Drosophila melanogaster: one gene and its partner. The protein of the gene in region 1 purifies or fractionates together with the protein of each later gene. This does not show direct contact. Each region holds a gene or a part of one and is shown in the gene's direction. Other genes may lie near its edges.

Evidence for each region.
Region 2: the proteins of mth (region 1) and sun fractionate together in Drosophila melanogaster (co-fractionation; one study listed by BioGRID). This does not show direct contact.

The regions. Positions count from the first base shown.
Region 1 is NT_037436.4:345,186-349,119, reverse strand, and holds the start of mth (methuselah), read left to right. Parts: upstream 1-2,162; 5' UTR 2,163-2,305; intron 2,306-2,781; exon of another isoform or gene 2,782-3,234; 5' UTR 3,235-3,238; coding exon 3,239-3,745; intron 3,746-3,808; coding exon 3,809-3,934. UniProt on the Drosophila melanogaster protein: Involved in biological aging and stress response. Essential for adult survival. Required in the presynaptic motor neuron to up-regulate neurotransmitter exocytosis at larval glutamatergic neuromuscular junctions (NMJs).
Region 2 is NC_004354.4:15,847,471-15,851,404, reverse strand, and holds sun (stunted), read left to right. Parts: upstream 1-2,146; 5' UTR 2,147-2,240; coding exon 2,241-2,269; intron 2,270-2,388; coding exon 2,389-2,519; intron 2,520-3,057; coding exon of another isoform or gene 3,058-3,071; exon of another isoform or gene 3,072-3,107; intron 3,108-3,400; coding exon 3,401-3,426; 3' UTR 3,427-3,546; downstream 3,547-3,934. Other genes in the region: UBL3 (ubiquitin like 3), read left to right, coding at 209-317, 695-859, 977-1,041. UniProt on the Drosophila melanogaster protein: Activates the G-protein coupled receptor mth in vitro, leading to increased intracellular calcium ion levels.

The DNA.
Region 1 (3,934 bases):
GCTAAACTTTTCAAGGGATTTTAAGGAGCGTGGATCAAAGTTATCAAAGTTAAATGCTAATGTTCCAAGAGCATCCTAGATTTAGGTTGTACGAATATTATAAGAACCTTAAAAGTACATTTTTTTATTCTATCATAATTTTGATTCGTCGTACGCCATATTTAATCGCAGTAATTTATGTGCAAAATGATCGGTATATATGTAATTAAATGCTTAACATTGAAATTTCAGCTTGGCGACCCTTATTCCCCAATTTCGTGGAGCCAATAGCAAAAGCTTGCTCTAAATAGATTTCCCCGGTTTCGAGGAGTTGTGGTCCACCCTCCGGGAAATGGATTTTAAAACGGAACATGGAACACGGAGGCCTGTGGAAAACAGGTTAAGCTCCCCGATTGATTTTCTCTCGTGCCGCCGACGCATCAATTACGCTGGCCTGGCATTAATTATCGTGTGGCGTATGCATTTGCTAGGCTTACCTTATGCCCGTTATGCCTCAGGGTTGCCATGGGTTCGCAGTGGAAGGGGTGGCGACCCCAGGAAGAGATGGGGCCTTCTTCCGAAGCGGGGTTAGGACCGCTTATCGTTGCTTGCCTTTTAATTTTTATTGCTTTTGGCGTGCAGGAGCAGGAGGGGGAGCGCAGAGCGCACCCCACAACTGTTTGTTCAACGCTCAACATACTGAATATGCTATTTTCGTGTTCATATTCCACTTGCATCACAGTCCCCGGATAAAGACCCGGGCGACACTCATACACACCCAGAAGCACTGACAGAAAACTGGGAAGTATCTCGCATTATTGTTAAGCTATAACAGCGCTTTGCTATGATCAGTTTTGTAAACTTAACACAACCACGAACTGGTGCAAATGAGGTAATTCCCCATATTGGACATGGTTTCTTACAGTGTAGAATTGCAGCTGATTTGTGCTTTTTCTTTCTTCCATTCGTTAAACACTCCTGTGATTGGGTCAATTGTATTCGTTGTTCTTTATGTCGACTAGATGGCCGAAGAAAGCGGAGTATTGGTATTTACGGTTAATTGACGAATTTGTAAACAAATAATCAACGATTAAGTGCAGTGCATCTTGGCTATCTTCCTTTCCCCTTCATTCCCCCTTATCTACGCTATTGCCACTTCCTTCGTTGCACTACATGCGGCTTTCGAGATTTGTGTGCGTGTATGGATGGTTCTCTCTAACTCTATTCCTCTCCCTTGTCCGCCTGCGTGGAACTCCGGAAGAGGTAGAGAGCAAGAGGAAGAATAACAATAATAATTACAAACACTGCAGCGAAAGAAGTTGCAGCACAAAGGGAAAGGCAGAGAGGCGGGCTCTTCTTACCTCTCTTTTTTCTGGCTGCTGTACTATACTTGCACCAACTAGATTTTGTATTCAACAAATGCAGAATATGTTTCTAACGCATTCGGAAAGAGAGCACACACTGCATAGCCACCGGACTCACACACTCGCACTCAGGCTGCCGCTTTATAGGACAACAAAAGTAGAAAGAAATTCACGCAGGCCGGTTAACGATCAATATAAATGCGCGAACTTGGCTTAATGTCCTTTGTCCTTAACTAGGGGTTTTCACGGAAACGGAAGAAACGAAAAACAAACCCAAATAAACTGAACCGACACAATGAAAAAATGGACTGGCTAGTGATGGATGCTAGCCTCGCACGATAGTATCGATATAACCTCTAGTTGTAATTGATAAGTGTAATCGAGTTAACAGTTCCGATAAGATTACGATATTGGTTATAAGAAGTTGAATTTTTTTTACGGTTATTATAATTCCATGTATAAAACAGCACTTATCAGCTGATCCCAAAACTTTTCATCGAGTTAAAGCGGTCGCTTAGCCTTAACACTGAAATGTGCTCCTTGGAAACAGGGCATCAAAACTGACTATCGTCAGTGCAAGTGCATGTACGATATATCGATTAAAACGTAACTGAATAAGCCGATGTCAAACATAATGTTGTAAATAAAATCGAATCATATTATTGAAAGAAAAACATCATTCCACATGCCCATCCATATTTTCAATTAATAAAAAATATTCTCAGTCCAGAAACTATGTTACGAAAAATTACTCTGCACAAAACGACACTGATCGTGGCGGCAGACGGGTTTGTTCTGCCACCATTGTTCAACATTCATTCTTTTTTTCCGTTCAAGTTTTAGGAGAGAGAGCAGAGTAAAGTTTAGTTGTCACACACATCTGTGTGAGTTTTAAGCTTAAAAAAAGTTCAAACGCGGAACGCTCCATGTCCGCTTGATACACCGATCGAGAACAAAAAAGCGTAAATATTTTGTACAATGTAATTGTACTGAATGTGGCAGTAAATAAAAAAAAAGACGGACTATGGTGATATCTTGTGTGCACTTACACATACATACATACGACGAATTTAATTATTGGCAGAGCTCTCGCATCTGACTTTAACTCCATAAAATACATATATTAATATTTAAATATAGCATATTTTGTGTATATATGTACAAGAATATCTTACCATTTTAACTGTGATACACCGATCGAGAAGAAAAAATCAAAAAAAATAAATATTTTTTTACAACGAGACTTCTTTTCGTGGAAGTGAATAAGAAAAATGAGGCTGATATCATGTGTACTGTGTAAGTGCAGTTATGCATATATGCATAATATGTATACACATATTAATATTTAAATATATCATATTTTGTGTATATATGTACAAGAATATCATACCATTAGTTTTGGAAAATAATAAATATAAAATAACTTTGGTTTTCCCAGAACAACATAATTGTTTAATCAAAATTGGGTTGTGGTCAAATATGGGGCCAGGCCACTCAGTCACCAGATCCACATCTCCACTTTTGTAATTAGGATCATCAGGATCAGATGAACCGAATGAAAATCGAATTACCACAGAATGCAGCCGTACCTAACAATGAATTTGGAATTAAAATGCCTTTCATAGCTGTTCGATGCCCACTGCTAGAAGCTAAATACAAGCTTTACAACAGAATGTATGTATGTACATACAAATCAACATCACCCAGTATGACAAACGAGGAAAAATATGTGGACTATCTTTGTGTTGTCAATTAAAGTTTGGTTCTCATTTATCATTTGTACAATATACTACCATACCATTTAAGTTCTTTTCATTGGTTTTGCTATTTTCAATTCCAACTACGGCAAAAAACATCTTGGCAAAGGCGTCCTTTCTTGTGTCCTTTGCAGATAAATGAAAACTCTTTTGGTTCTTCGGATATCAACTGTCATACTTGTTGTGCTGGTTATTCAAAAATCATATGCAGACATTCTCGAATGCGATTATTTCGACACTGTCGATATTTCGGCAGCTCAAAAACTACAGAATGGATCGTACTTATTTGAGGGGTTGCTCGTTCCGGCCATTTTGACGGGAGAATATGACTTTAGGATTCTCCCGGACGACTCGAAGCAGAAGGTGGCTCGTCACATAAGAGGATGTGTGTGCAAGCTGAAGCCCTGTGTCAGATTTTGCTGCCCTCACGACCATATCATGGATAATGGTGTCTGCTACGACAACATGTCCGACGAGGAGCTGGCTGAACTCGATCCCTTCCTTAATGTGACTCTTGACGACGGGTCGGTGTCCCGCAGACACTTTAAAAACGAACTAATCGTCCAGTGGGACCTACCGATGCCGTGTGACGGAATGTTCTACCTAGACAACCGCGAAGAACAGGATAAGTACACGTTGTTCGAGGTTCAGTTGTCTAATATATTCATAATGAACATATTTGGTTTACTTGGTATTTTCTAATTCTAGAACGGAACTTTCTTTCGCCACTTTGACCGTGTGACTCTTCGCAAGCGGGAATACTGCCTTCAGCATCTTACATTCGCAGATGGTAATGCTACGTCTATTCGAATTGCACCTCACAACTGTTTGATA
Region 2 (3,934 bases), on another chromosome or scaffold:
TGCACTTTGAATCATTTATTTACAAAGATGTTTTTTTTTTATATATATATAAATCAGCTATCAGATTTATATCAATTTAGTTGAGTAGCTTTAAATCTTTTTGGCAGGACTTACATTTAATTTCATTGAGCTCTCATAAAAAAACGATATACTATAAACTATATCATATAAAAGAATTTAATTGCAATAATATCCGTTTGCTTTTCAGATTAACCTACGCCTCATTCTTGTTAGTGGTAAAACAAAAGAGTTTATTTTTAGCCCTTCAGATTCCGCAGGTGATATTGCACAAACAGTATTTGATAATTGGCCAGAAGGTGAGTGAATTTAGTGTTAAGTTTGTCGGCGAATGATTTTTAATCACTAACGATTAAGTATGTAAGCTACGTAATACAAATAGAGTGAAATATACATATTTCTTCTAAATGGCATGCTATTGACCCTTTCGCGTGAACTGCATTTATTTTGAGAACGCTTTAATCATAGTCACAAGGATACAAGGATACAACCCACGAAATATTTAATATTTATGGCATCTATTGGATATTTCAAATAAATGCGACTTTTGAAGTTTGTTTAAATATTGTCAGCTTGTTGGCCTCTAAAATCAATTCTTTCTTAGTTGTTTTGCTTTTAGAGTTAGACTTTTGATGCGAAAACCCATGTAATACATTATTGTGCATATATCTTGCAGATTGGACCCACGAAACTGTGTCGAAAGCCGAAATCTTGCGCTTAATTTATCAAGGTCGTTTTCTTCATTGCAATGTAACCTTAGGAGCACTGGGACTTCCATTAGGCAAAACGACTGTTATGCATTTAGTGCCACGTGATAATTTGCCAGAGCCCAATTCACAAGGTAGGTTTTCAAAAAAAAAAAAAAAAAAGAAATATGGTTTCAATTATAAAGAGCTGCTCAAATTTAAATTCGCAATGCATACGAAAAACATCTTACTGAATTTTCCTCCTCTTTTAGATCAAAGACAAAATAGTAAAGGCGGTTCTGGACGATGCTGTTCGACAAATTGCTCTATTTTGTAACTAAATTATTATATAATAGCGTAATATTTAAACTAATTTGCATTAAAAGAAAAAAGAAAAAAAAAAAAACACCCACAACCGAAATAAAAACAAATATGAATGTATAAATTACATTTTTGTGCAGTCAGAAGTATATTTATTAAACTATAATAATGTATGTCTGGATCAACAAGGCGCTTTGTTTCAACTATTAATGTACATACAATATATATTTTATATATATACCACACAGGAATTCATGAGCATGTGCAAAATGCGTATACTCTGTATTAAAGTTGCTAGACTGCATATTTATAACATGTAATATACGAATACAATGCTAATTGCTTTTAGAAACCGGACTTGTTAACCTAATTAGAGAATGGGTAATTACAACACTTATTTCAAATATGTCGAAAATATTGAAAACTAATTATGTGCAAGAATAAGTAATTTTCCCATTGCGTTCTGCTTTTAAGTGTGCGTCTACCGAAAAACTAAATAAAATCAGCAATTACTTGTCAGATCGATTCTTTAATGCGTTAAAGAATATTAAAGAAATTTTTGTTCTGTATATATACACATTTAATTAGAACTTAAGTGTTTTCTTCTGTTAAGTTTTAAAATATTATCTGTAAAGTCTAACTTAAAGTCAATGATAAATAAATAATCTAATATATCCTTAGCTTATCCTATTTTGGGTGCATTGGTGGTTATTTGATTAATTAGCCTAGAACTAAAAACAAATTTCAAGGAAAATTGGGGAATATTTTTTTTAAGTTGATGGTTTAATGTAACAATTTTTCTTGAAATGCTTTATGCAAGGCACGTTAAACAATGTCTGCTTAATTATTTGTGTAGGCATGAATAAGTAACAAGCTTCGTTCTTTCGAATAAAACAGTTTGGCATATCCATATTTATTAGGGTTTTTCCCAAAGGAAGAAAAATAAGTAAATTAGATTTTTAAATATTGAAAAGTTTGAGTTTGGATATCGATAACAAATGTTACTAACAGTGTGTATGTTCAATAACAGAAGTCACAGTCGTCGTCGCTATCTTGACGCGCGTAAGCTAGTATTTAAGGTATATGTGCGACAATCGACGGTATATTTCTGACTTAACTCTCAAAAACTAGTTGGCCACACTGACCGGATTCAGAAAGGGAATATCTTATATATTTTTTGTGTAGCGTGAATATATTTCGAATAAACCGATCACAATGACTGCCTGGAGAGCTGCCGGAATTACGTAAGCATTGTATAAGTGCCTGCCACACCAGCTGTGTTGTGGCAGCATTCTCATGCAAATAAAAACGCCTTTGCTGCCCGATTACATAACATAATTAATCCAAATATTACCGATTGCAGCTACATCCAATACTCCAACATCGCCGCTCGCATTTTGCGCGAGTCCTTGAAGACGGGACTGCGTGCGGATGCCGCCAAGCGCGACGCGAGCCATGTGAAGTTCACTCCCTGGGCAAATGGCAAGCCAGCTCGTACGTATCATAATACTTTAGACGGCCAAATAGCAGCCATTATATAAATTAACTCCGGATAATTCGAAATCCAAGGGGAAACCGTTATCAATGTGTTATTAGGAATGTTTCGAAGTCATCCACAAGTGGTTTCCACACGGTATTCTACCCAAAAGTTTCGGAAAAAAGCCCCGTTTCGAAATGGCAATGTGAAAAATACCGAAAAATGAACGGTTCACTCGTGTTCCCACTTTACTCCGAAAATGTTGCCAATTTACAGGCGTAATATCGCGTGTAAAAACTGTTCCCATCTATAGATATTCGTATATTATTGCATATATCATATATATTTGCAATCTGTTTAAATCCTGATCATCAACATTGAAGCGTTCATACTCATCCAAACCATTTCTAAAACTTTAATTTCAAAATTTTCGTAACTTATTGGAATATCGAAACAAAATTAGGCAAAATTGCTTACCATTCCTTCAAGACAAACGCTCCATAAAGTAATAGAATTTATGTTTCATATTGCGTCATATTTGAATATATTTTTCAGATGAAAGGGCTTAGGTGTTCCATCGTCAAATTAATAATTTAAAAACTGGCGTAAGTGCCTGCCGCGGCAGACAAAACCCAAATTATCCCAGCGTTCGCATTAAACTCAACGACAGTTTATGTATCTAACTTTGTTCCCAAAGTTTCTAACTACGCTTACAAGCTGATCTGCATGCAAATGCGATGTGTTTACATATAATATAATGTTTATATTAATATACATATATATATCCCAAAATTGCCCGCCCCAAAAGTTTACAAGCGACCAACTATTAACTATTTCTTTGTGATGAAAAACTATTATCCAAAGCAAATGCTGATTATTGCCATTTTTCTGTCCGCAGAGCGTCAAACCCAATCGGAATCCTAGATGCTTTTCAGTGGCCACTCGAGAATGATTCGCAACAACTAAGATCCGCCGAAGCTGCAATGTTGTAAAATCATGAAAAATAAATAAAATTAAATAAATGTAATTTATTTAAACACGATGATTTTAATTGTTCTTAAATGTGGCATTTATTTGGGCGTTCCGTTTAGAGATCGCGACCGATGAAACGGACTTCTAGCAAAGATTTAAATATAGACTCAATAGAATATTGTAATTTTGAAAAGAACTATTGGTCAGGTTCACCAGAAGCCTTTTAATTGGGATCAGTGATAGGTTTCTTGCTATAATTTTGTCAACGCATATTTGTATAGAATGATTTTATACACATAATGCTGAACCAATTGAATTGTTACTTATATTTTGCGCTTTAAATATACACATATAGACATTATTTATGTTAATTATTATCCAGTTAGTTTATATTTTAATTTAAATATATATATATATATATTTTTAAGGTAGAGTATTTTGGATTATCCTTCAAAAATTA